Linked DNA regions of Cricetulus griseus. The protein of the gene in region 2 interacts with the protein of the main gene of each other region in a biochemical or structural test. Links are inferred from orthologs where the notes say so. Each region holds a gene or a part of one and is shown on either strand. Other genes may lie near its edges.

Region 1 (4,193 bases), on a different chromosome or scaffold from region 2:
CTACAAACAATGTAAGCAACATTTCGCAAATTCTTTTCAAAGAGTCTAATTGGATCAGCCATACCTGCCACTGGGAAGGAAACCTGTTGTTCCTGGGAATCAACAGAAGCCTTGGAGGGCATGAGGCTGTTGTTCCCACTGTGGCTAGGCAGCTCCCAGATTCACTGACACCTGCAGGGCAGGGACATTGGGACACATCTGTCTCCTGGCTGCTGACATTGAGTTTTGATGCCTGGAATGGGACCCAAAGTTCTAACATTCTCTGATGTCCTGAGCATCAAGCCAGCTGTGAGCACTGGACATCCCTGTCCTGGGTGGCCCTCTTGCTTCAAACAGGCTTAAAGTCACTCCATCTTAGGTTGGACCAGGACCTTTCCCCTGCTTTTCTATCCTTACCTCCAAATCCCAGGACCTACATCCTCTCCGACTCCCCCTCGTATACCATAGCTCCTAGGTGCACGGACTAGTTAGGTGTCTCTACACTACTGTGAAAATAGTTGTCTTAGAAAGACTGGCATTTGGAAATAGTCACAAGATCCTCCACCTTCCATGAGGAGGTGAAACGCCTGGAAACTCCCTAGGAGCCAGCTCTGAGACTTCCTGTCCTCTGTTCTTTGCATGCATAGTGTGTGTCCCTAGGTTGTCTGATTGATACCCTCATAATGTTTATCTCACGAAGAACTAGAGACTTACTCAGCGTGGTCCCCTTCCACTAGTTCCTCCCACCTACCCTGAGTCAGGCTGATGGAGTCAAAAGATCCATGTGGCAGCAGGGAACCTGTGTTCAAGTAAGCACAGTGGGGTCCTCAGTGGCAGAAAGGGAAATTTCCTTGCTGGAGTCACTAGCCTCCTTCGTGACAACAGACGTCCTGGGCCCTCTAGCCAGCACCTGCGGTCTCAGCTCCAGCTTCAGGCCCAGAACACAAAAACTACCTCGGGTCCGGCTGACCTTCTCATCCGGAACAGGTGCCAGGGATCAAGGTAACCCATGGTACAGGGCGAGCGATGCCAATTAGACCTCTCTTCCGAGCTCCCGCTGTCCAGGCTTCTGAAGCAGGAAAGGTTCCGAGAGCAGCGGTGCGGAGCGTAGGGCGGTGACGAGCAAAGCCCCGCCCCGCGGCTCGCAGGGCTGCCCTGCCCCTGGGTCCCCGCTTGTCCTCCGCCCTCCCAGTGGCGCGCATTTACCTGCTTGCAGGCAGAGGGAGGCGGGGCGGGAGCGGGGTGCGCGCCCGTCCCCGGAGCAGCCGCTGTCAGTCACCGCTGCTGAGCGCCAGCGAGGACGAGCCTCTGGCCCAGGCGGCCCGCGCCTGGCGACCCGAAACACAGTACCCGCGGCCCAGCGACCCCGAGCCCAGCGTCGGGCCCCTCCTGCCGGGCTCCCGGGCGCCCATTGGCTTCCAAGGCGCAGGCAGCACTGGTGAGTGATCGTCATCAGGGACGCGCGGGGCGGCCCTGGAGCCTTTGTCTCCGCGCCCCTAAGAGCGGGAGACCTCGGCACCGAGCCTGACTCTCAAAGAGACGAAGGGAAGGGTGCTCGGTACTGGCACCAGAACTCTGATCCCTCCCCAGGCCAGGAGCGCCCGGGTCACAACTGACCAGAGGAGCAGGTGTCCCCGCAGGTGGCAGCTGGGCGACCTCTCGGACCGAAACCACGTCGGCAGCCCCATCTTTCTTGGCAAGTGGTGGACGCAAGTGTAGACTCAGGTCCACAGCGGTGGGGACTAGGAGCCTGCAGGATAGCCCGGAGTGGTCTCCGGCCAGGCCTGGGGACCCCGGGGTCGCTGAAACTCGAGCGGCCTAAAAATGGTGAGGGGAGGAGTTTAGAGGTGGGAGGTGACCTCGGTCTAGAGAGACAGCCGTCCGCGTGCGGAGAGGGGTCCTGATGGGCTCCGAGGGCGCCCAGGGGCCCACCTAAGCCTGCCTTGCCTGCTAACCACACACCTGCTGGCCCTCGTGCGAGCCCTGCCCTGCTCTGCCCTTCCCCACAAGGAGAAGCAGTTCCTCTTCGAGCAGAGGGCGGCGACAGGCACTTGTCCAGGCTTCCGCCTTCTCCGGGCCTGTCTCGGGCTCCTAGGCCCTCTCCCACCCTGCCCACCTGCTGGCCCCCGCGCTGTGTCCAGCCCGGCCCCGTCTTCCCGCCCTAACTTGATCTCTTGGTCCTGCTGAAGCGCCGGGTCCCAGTAGCCCCCGGGGGACAGTCCTCGTGTTCATGTTCTGCTTTGGTGTGTTGTAAACGCCTCTGGTTTTTAGGGGATGTGCGTACCCTGTGTGGGATTTTGAGGTGTTTCTCTAGTCCCCTGATTTGGGAGGTGGAGCGAGGCTTGGACAAGGGTTTGTGATTCTCTGAGGAATCAGTTCTGACACTTGACGCTTGCCAGCAGGACAGCTGCTGAGCCACACAGCACACCACACCACATGAGAGTGGATCTGTGCCGTTGGGGACAGTCTTGGAGCAGGGCGTGAGAGCCTGTCGGGTGGGAGGCATCAGACACTGGACAGGCATCGCCTCTGCCTGCGCAGGACACCGGGCATGCAACTAGAACATTTCTTTAGAAGAAGGCAACCTTAGGGAGGTCTCATTTAAGACCTGTGGCTTTGGAGATTATGTCTAGATGAGCTCAAAGGACCACTCACTCACTACTCATGGCTCTCCCAGAAGAGCTTCCCCTGCCACCGGCACCTCTGGGATGGGTGGGGGCACCCGTGTTAGAGGATGGGATCCTGGGAAGAGGCCAACCCAAGTTGGAGTGCAGGATAACCACATAACAGGTGCACAGCCCCCCAGCTCGTGTAGACATTCCCAGATTCTCGGTTGGATAAACAGAAACCTGAGAGAGAAAATAACAGTTTAAAATAATCGTGAATGTGAGGTGCAACGCCTAAGAATTTAATTGTTCTGAAATGCGTACTTTTATCGACTTGAGATTTTTTTAAAAATGTGTCAAATCCACTTTTGATGTCTGTCTAGATATGAAGTGTTGGTTCTTGGTGGAAATGGTGTGTGTGATTTTTTTAAAAAAAATCTGTGAACACAGAAAAAGAACATAGCCCCATCTTTCAAGGATGTTCCAGTTTAGCCTGGATTTTGGAGTGCTAAAGCTTATTTTGTTTGAATCTTGGTTTCCTCTTCAGGCTCTTTATGTTTTTAATGCTTAGATTATATTTATTTACTTATGGGTATAGGTGGGTGAACAAGTGTGGAGGTCAAAGGATAACTTGCAAGGGGTCAGCTTTCGCCTTCCACCATGTGGGTTTCGCCCCTCTCCAGGTTCTTTCCAATGTCAGCAGCTTCCCCTGCCTTCCCAATAGCAGGTGGCATTGACTGACCACTCACCAAACACCAGGCTCGATACTGAAAACTGTTGACTCCTGCATTTAAGTTTTAACTGAAGTGGGAGAGCTTCATCCCCCCCCCCTTCCTTTCTTCTTAAATGTCCACCATTAGGGGATGGAGAGATGGCTCAGTGGTTAAAGATGCTCCCCTGTCCTTGTAGGGGGCCCTAGTTAAGTTCCCAGCACCCACATCAGTTGGCTCATCACTGCTTGTAACTCTAGCTCCTAGGAATCCGACACAGTCTTCTGGACTCTGAGGGTACCAGCTTTTACAACATGCAAATACCCCCACCCAGATATACATATGACCAAAAGTAAAATTTTAAGGCCACAACTAGCTAGTGGCCATGCCTATTAAAACATCCAGGTTCCATCCCCCAGGTGGCCTGACCATAGAGACACCCATCTTAGTTGGTATCCTTTGCTTAGCTTTCTTTATTGATAAGGAAGAAAAGCAAGTGTCCCTGTGACCCAGCGTCACATTAATAAGCTATTGCTTGCAAAGACAGGTTCTTACCAGTCCCCCAGAGCACACTAAAGGAATCTGGGAGGTCCTATGCTGCAACAAAGAGATAACACATCAGAAGTCCCTGTGCCTCCCAAGCACATGGGAAAACTGCTAGAACATTCTTCCATGAAGGCTTTAAGTCTCTATTGAAATCTGTGGTGGGCAAATTTTAGCCTAGAAACAAAGTCCATAGGAGATGCTTGTTAGCGATTCTGAAGCTACCAGGAGCTACACTCAGGAGGTGTAAAGATTAAAGATGCCGCACTGTGGCTCTGAAAGTTCTTTTGCTCTGGGCTTTGTGAGCTCTAGGGGAGGAGAGAAAGGGCAGGGGAGTGGATGGTTGGGACGTAGG
Region 2 (3,650 bases):
CTCTTCTCCAGACCTTTTGATTTAGAAAATTTGGGGGTGGGGTATCTGAGCAGGCCACAGTAGTAATTCTCTTCCTGTAATGGCAGGGTAGCCAGACTCTGTGAGTTAGAGAGAGGCCTCCTCTGTGAGCATATAGCTGCCTATTCAAGGAGTTCTGGAAGTAGGTAATTGACTCAACAAATTACGGTATTGTCCCTGTTCAGTAGAGAAAGTGGTATGAGAGGTCAGGAAGTGTGAGAAGAAATTCACATTCCTCTTGAATGTGTTACACACATGATATACCACATTTTATTTTTTAGCTGAGGTAGATTATACTACTTCCACTTAGAAATAAAGGAACTGGGTGGGCGGTGGAGGCACATGCCTTTAGTGCCAGCACTCAGGAGGCAGAGGCAGGTAGATTTTTTTGAGTTTTGAGGCCAGCCTGGTCTACATAGTGAGTTCCAGGAGAGCCAGGACTACACAAAGAAACCCTGTCATGAAAAAACAAAAAAAGAAAGAAAGAAATAAGGGAACTGAACTCAGATTCAATTTATGTAGCCAAAATTACATACCTTGGTATATATATGTGTATGTCTAGAATGTGTACATAAATTTTCTGTACTTTCTCCTATAAGGTTAAATTAATGTTTACTATTAAATAGACTTTTGGCATTTTTCTTATCTATATAATTTATTCAAACCACTAAAATGATTACTAAGATTTTCATGTACACTGATTATATACCTTTCATTCTCTACCATGTTGTAGGCCAACTGTGATCTCAGGCGGCAGATAGATGATCAACAAAAATTACTTGAAAAATACAAAGAACGATTAAATAAGTGCATATCAATGAGCAAGAAACTTCTTATTGAAAAGGTGAGTTAGTACTAAATTTTCCTTTCCCTTAGTATTTTGCTTTGCCTTGCATGCTTTTAAAATTTGAATGGTATAATTGATTTTTCCCCCCTCATTTCAGAGTACTCAAGAAAAATTGTCAAGCAGAGAGAAGAGTATGCAAGACCGGTTACGCCTTGGGCACTTTACAACAGTTAGACATGGCGCTTCTTTTACTGAACAGTGGACAGATGGTTTTGCATTTCAAAATCTTGTGAAGTTAGTAATGGTTACATTTTTAAAATTTTATTTTTAATTATGTGTATGTGTGTGTGTGAGAGTGCAGAGGCATCAGAGCTGAAGTAACAGGCGACTTTGAGCCACCAGATGTGAGTGCTGGAAATTGAACTCTTGTCCTTTGGAAGATTAATGTATGTAATTAAGCCCTGAGCCACCTCTCCAGCCCCATTGCTGCATTTTTAAAAATTAGTGATTTGGATTCTCATTACTTTAAAGAATTATAAATTTGGAATTATGTTCAGCATCTCCTTACTATTTGAATTTATAAAACTCAGCAAGCTACAGTATTTAACCAGAAGTCTTACATAAGTAGCTTTCATCTAAAGAGTACAATGTGTATTTTCCTTTAAAAACAACAATAACAACAAAAAACAAGCTCTCAATAGGTTTATTTAGCTTTTGTTGGAGACAGCTGTGCTGGCTATTAGCTTATCACAATAAAAGACAGAATCTCTGTAAACCTAATGAGTTTGGGGTTTAATTCTTTGGTTAGTTAAAGGTTAACATGTAGTATATGTGATCATAATTAAGATACTGAATAGCTTGATGATAATACAAAAATAATATTGTGAGGAAGATAAAATTTTGATAGTTAAGATGGACAGATATTATTTATACTTGAGCTAAAATACTGAATGTAAAAATAGAGAGCAGGAAATGGATTTGAGATGAAAACCATAGCCTTTAATATTTTGTGAGCAAAAATCTCTACTTCTAAACTCAGCACTGACTGTCCTACATTAATGTTCATAATCTAAAGTATTAGGGGCTGGAGAAATGGTTCAGTGGGAGAGCACTGGATCCTCTTCCAGAGGACCCAGGTTCAATTCCCAGTACTTACATGGCAGTTCACAGTCATCTGTAATTTCAGTAATTTTCTTTTGGCCTATGCAGGCCTCTGATGCATGTGGTATACAGACAAATATGTGAGCAAAACACCCATACACATAAAGGAGAAATAATTTAAGAAATAAAATATTATTAATTATGCCAGTAGTTACATGCTCTTATAAAAATCAAAATCATTAGCATAGCCTATATTTGTTAAGCAATGATTGAAGACTTACTCTGTGTTGTTAACAGTGTGTTCACATTCATTGTTTATAATCCAACGTGATTAGAAAATGAGAATTGAATAAATGAAAAGTTAGACATGTTAATGAATAATCTCTGAACCAGTTGTGATCCACTATATATCTGTCCCATTAAGGTTTTACTTGCCACTAGGCAATTTATGTGTACTTAGAGCTTCTTCTGTAATATAGTTACAATGTACTTTTTGATTGTTTTTGTTTGGGGTTCTGTTGGTCTGACTGAAATTCTCACAGGTAGTGGACTGGAACTCTACCACGGTGCTGCATCCCTGCTCCTCAAATTTACTCTTGATTACTTAAGAGCATGTTAGATTATTCCTAAATCCAAATGGAAACAGAGCTAACTTACCATTCTTTGAGAATTTCACTCATGTCTTAGCTCTGCTCCCTCACTCAGGCCACAGAAAAGAAATGTGTGTGCAAACGAATCCTTCAGCCACACAGAGCTCTGGAGTCCCTGTTTGGGGGAGGGAAGGGAAACATTTGGCTTGCTCTAAATCTCAATAGCATGACCATGTAGAGCTATAACATTTTCTTTCTTGAATGATAGAAGACCTAAAAGGAACATGGTTACTATCAAAATAAACTTAATGTGTTGTAGCGAGGTTACCATATGTTCCTCTGTTGGCTGTTTAGATGGCTCATCAGGTAAAGACACTTGCACCAAACCTGATGACCTGAATTCTATCCCTGGGACCCACACAGTGGAAGTAGAATAGACTCCTAAAAGTTATTTTCTGACCTTCAGACATGTGTTCCCCCAACTTTTTGATGCAAGTTTTGCTCTGTAACTTTTTTTTTTGAAGATTTTTATTTATTTATTATGTATACAGTGTTCATTCTGATAAAGTATCTATAGGAATGGTATTTGCTGGTAAGGACAAGGTACCATGAAACTATTTGTGGCCACACACTTGTCTAGAGGTTTAGGGGACATCTTATTTAAAAACTGTGTGAAGTGAGACCTGTAGGTTGTTTTGCTTCACTAGAGTAGGCTGCAAGGGGCTAATGAGATGTCTGTGTTGTGAAGAGTCCTTGGCTGATCTTCAGAGCACCTAAGGGCTAGAGTTTGGTTCCTAGCATGCAGGTGATGGCTCACAACCTTTTGTAACTCTAGTTCCAGAGGAGCTGTTACCCTCATCTGACCTCTACAGGCACACTTGTGATGCATGTGCATACATGTGTACATACAGCAACACTCAGTTGGTTGTGTTGATGTACACCTTTAACCCTAGCACTCGGGCGGCAGAGGCAGGTCAGCCAAGGCCACACGGTGACGACCTGTCTAAAAATCAATGAACAAACCACTTATACACATAAAATAACTAAGCAAATATTTAAAGATTTTAAAAAAGAGTGGGACCAAAAGAATACAGGTTTAAATTATGTGTATGATGTATTTTTTCATTTTTTAATTTGAAATTAATGGGAGATTA
Region 3 (3,650 bases), on a different chromosome or scaffold from region 2:
ATTACTGTAGTTGACTCTTTCTTTGCCATGTTTATATACACTAAATTATTTGAGGTTTGCTAACAGCAAACCCTCAGTCCCAGCTCCTCAGTTCTGTATCTAAGAGGTAGCTTCTCTACAGTGTGCTCTTAAGCAACCCCCTCACCCATTTCTAAAGGATTTCTTCAAAACGAGTATTCGCTGAAACTGTCCTGTCTGTGAAGGGAGAAACAGAGGTCAGGGACAGGAAGTAGATTTTTGTTCTGGATTCTGCCTGCAGTAAGACTTGGTTGGTTAGGTAGAAATACTTCTAACAAAAATTAATAGTTATTTAAAAGCTAACTCATTACTCCTTGCAGTATTATAAATAGCTTCCTCTAAGAAGCATGGATAATTGAAAATAGTCACTAGTTTAATATGGCAATTTAATATAAAGTAAGAGAAATAACAGTTATACAGAAGATAATGTCTCAAGCTTAGGCACAGACTTAAATACTGTCAGACGTATTTAAGAACATGATTTATATTCGCAGAAATCATACTCTCAAGTTCTAACGGGTAATGGACATGTCACAGCAGTCCTCTATAAAAACCTAGATAAAGCAGCTTCAGTGAAGCGCCAGACTTTAATCCCAATGGCTCAAGTCACATCTGCTAACATTTCTTAGCCTTGCAGTTACTATGTCAAAATGAGGTTGTTGAAATTACATCAGCAGGCGAGTATTACTAACTAGCACACCATCTGAATACACATTTGGGGATGCTTTCATCTTGAAGAACTACTCCACAGGACAAACCCAAATCAATCTTGTGAGCGCCACAATACAGTTTAAGGTGTATTGTGGTCTGACTAGTTACCAATAGTAAAGACATTAACATCTCTGCACACAGTCTCAAGTACAGAACTCCTTTATGACAGATACTGCCTGAAACAGAGCAGACTAAAAGTGGGAGTAGACGAAGTAAAATTACTTAACATAAAAAGGATCAAGAGCTCTGAGATCATTTAGTCTATTAGAAACTGTAGTGATATTTTGTTCATGATCTAACAAATAAAGCTTGCATGAAGATCAGAGTGCAAAGCTAACCACACTAGTTAGCCATAGAGAGAGGCCAGGCAGTGGTGGTGCATACCTTTAATTCCAACAATCGGGAGAGAGAGGCAGAAGGATCTCTGTGAGTTCAAGGCCATGAGATTGAATCTATCTAAAAGAAAAACAGCTCACACAAAGGTAATCTCAGCACTCGGGATCCCACACCTTTAATCCCAGCTCTAGAGAAGAATATAAAATGGGAGAGACAGGAGCTCATTTAGCAGTCTGAGGAGCAGTGCAGTCTGGAGATGCAATCAAAGGACATGATCGCCCCTTTGGTCTGAATATTGGTAGAGGTTAGAACACTCTAGTGGCTGGCTGCTTTGCTCCTCTGGTCTTCAGGCAAGCTTTATTTGTTAGATCATAAACAAAATATCACCACAAGACACATATTTGACATATACATTTTAAGAGTAATCTTACCTGAAAAACAAACATATGCCTTCCTGCAGGAACGGGGCCCACTAAAACAGAGTCTAAAACTTGATCGTATTCTTCACTTTCGGCAGAGCCCACATAGATAATTTTCCACTCCAAGTCTAGGGTTAAAAACCAAAAGCATTATTGTATTTATCAATAGCAATTATATTAACAGATGATAAAGTCCTCATCTAGAAAGATATGGAAATGTTCCTTATGAATTTCTTACCAGAATTCCTGTTTCATTCCAGTAACCTTTCCAAATTCTCTTTCATGAAGCTCTTGTCCTTGGAGAGGGCTCCTCCCAAATAAAACCTGAACAAAACCTGGGGAAATGCTAAGTTTCCCCAAGTACTCATAAAGCAAATGGCACAGTACTCAGAGAGCTCCTCAAAGAATACCTGGAACACTAATCCCACTGCCCAGGTGATTTACTGTGCAGTCTCCCAGGCTTGCCTCACCACTGAGGAAAGGCTGCCCTGTGAAAGAGAAATCAACACAGAACCCAGAGTGGGAAATGGTCAGCAAACCTTACTTGTGGTTCAGAAGTAAGGGGCTTCATCATCTGATGTAAATTTGTCAGGCTGTTATCTCCTCCCTCTTGCTGGCTGAAATAACTGATGGTTTATACTAACTTATAGTTACCACTGATACATATTACCACTATTCCAACTGTAGCTAAGGATATAGTGGAGCTGTTTCTTCCTTTCCTCCATACATTCTTAAAACCACAAGAGGAAACCAAGATCCTTACACCTCCTCAACCAGCAGGGACATGATACACTCAAGTACAACCTGAGACTTGGCTTGTGATTCAATCTAGATTTCATTAAGCACCATTTTAGAAAAGTCTATGGAGAACAGAGAGGCATAAAACCATTTCTTTTTGAAGGAATCTGTTCTTTAAACAAGGGTGAAGATGACAGATATCTCCTAAGGTGTTGAGCATGTGTGGTCTATGTTTGGCTTCATTAGTGAGACTATACTAAGCATCCCCTAAGAGACTGTTTCAACAACTGAGGATGGAGACTATGGTGGTGTGGTTCACTATGGTGACCATGAGGGTAAAGTAAAGCACTATATCCTAGGTAAAAAGTCTGGGGATGGAAGCAGCAGTAGGCACTCTCTTTTTCCTTTTGGGTATAAAGGAGAAAATAATCAGGAGTTAGTTTTATACGTGTTTGGAATGTCTAGTAGATGTTTCAGTGTGGATACAACATAGGCCCGATCTTAAAGAATAGAAAATAGGCAATAATACATAAAGACAAGGAAAAGAATGGGATTCCTAAGCACTGAGCCTATGGACTCTCCAAAAGATCGGGAAGATGAAGAATCAATTAAAATATTAGGAGCTATTGGCCAATGAGGGAAGTGATCCAAAAGCTAAATGAAGAAACTAAAGAAGGGTATATGAAAAGCTACTAAGTGACCTAAAGTATTCGCATGGGCTTTGTCACTTTACAAAAATGCTTTATTATACAGATAGATCATTCAAGCACACACATACTGTACATGTGTTATATAAACAAGAAAGCTGAGACTGGGAGAAGCTAAGTAATTTACTAAAAATTCACGTTGCTTACAGATCAGAATTAGAATTCAAGTTGGGCTGCTGCTACTCAAAAGCCTTGGCTTTAAAATAAATACAAGTAACTGGGTAAGTTCTGCCCCTTTCTAGCTGTGAACTAATGAAATTAAAGAACACAGAAGGTGGGTAAAAACTGGCAGTGGAGAGCTAGATAATCCAGCCTCAGTAAGTACAAGCAGTAACTCAAGAAGGGGCACACACTGGGTTTTAATGCCATCGAATGCTTATTTATTAGTTTGTTTATAAAGCCAGTTTTCCTTTCTGAGTTTAGGAAGTTAAGGATAAGTCCTGTGGCACTACAAGTTACTAGCTGGAATTTACTCACTTATTTAAAAAGTTAACTTTTCTATTTAATCATGGTAATCCCAGACAGAAAGTATTTCCATGTGTGATGAGAGGTGTGTTATCCAGAAAATTTTAAGTTAATTACACTGTTGGGAATCTGTAGTCTAGGAGAAAGTATAAAGTCTTTGCAATCAGAATAGGCCTGAACTTTTAAAATATAAAGCCACAGGCTCAGTTTTGGTACACTGCAAATATTAAACCCTAGAAATTGTAGGGAGGCTAAT

What was found.
Region 1: the proteins of Tlk1 (region 2) and Mbp form a complex in vitro, tested with the Homo sapiens proteins (2 studies listed by BioGRID, with this or other methods). The link is inferred for Cricetulus griseus from reciprocal best matches to the Homo sapiens genes TLK1 and MBP.
Region 3: of the proteins of Tlk1 (region 2) and Asf1a, one has a biochemical effect on the other in vitro, tested with the Homo sapiens proteins (3 studies listed by BioGRID). The link is inferred for Cricetulus griseus from reciprocal best matches to the Homo sapiens genes TLK1 and ASF1A.

What each region holds. Positions count from the first base shown.
Region 1 is NC_048595.1:233,085,338-233,089,530, reverse strand, and holds the start of Mbp (myelin basic protein), read left to right. Parts: upstream 1-1,287; 5' UTR 1,288-1,417; intron 1,418-1,548; exon of another isoform or gene 1,549-1,675; intron 1,676-1,681; exon of another isoform or gene 1,682-1,806; intron 1,807-4,193. UniProt on the Homo sapiens protein: The classic group of MBP isoforms (isoform 4-isoform 14) are with PLP the most abundant protein components of the myelin membrane in the CNS. They have a role in both its formation and stabilization.
Region 2 is NC_048599.1:104,455,754-104,459,403, forward strand, and holds part of Tlk1 (serine/threonine-protein kinase tousled-like 1), read left to right. Parts: intron 1-751; coding exon 752-862; intron 863-962; coding exon 963-1,099; intron 1,100-3,650. UniProt on the Homo sapiens protein: Rapidly and transiently inhibited by phosphorylation following the generation of DNA double-stranded breaks during S-phase. This is cell cycle checkpoint and ATM-pathway dependent and appears to regulate processes involved in chromatin assembly.
Region 3 is NC_048595.1:255,436,274-255,439,923, forward strand, and holds part of Asf1a (histone chaperone ASF1A), read right to left. Parts: intron 1,613-3,650; coding exon 1,497-1,612; intron 1-1,496. UniProt on the Homo sapiens protein: Histone chaperone that facilitates histone deposition and histone exchange and removal during nucleosome assembly and disassembly.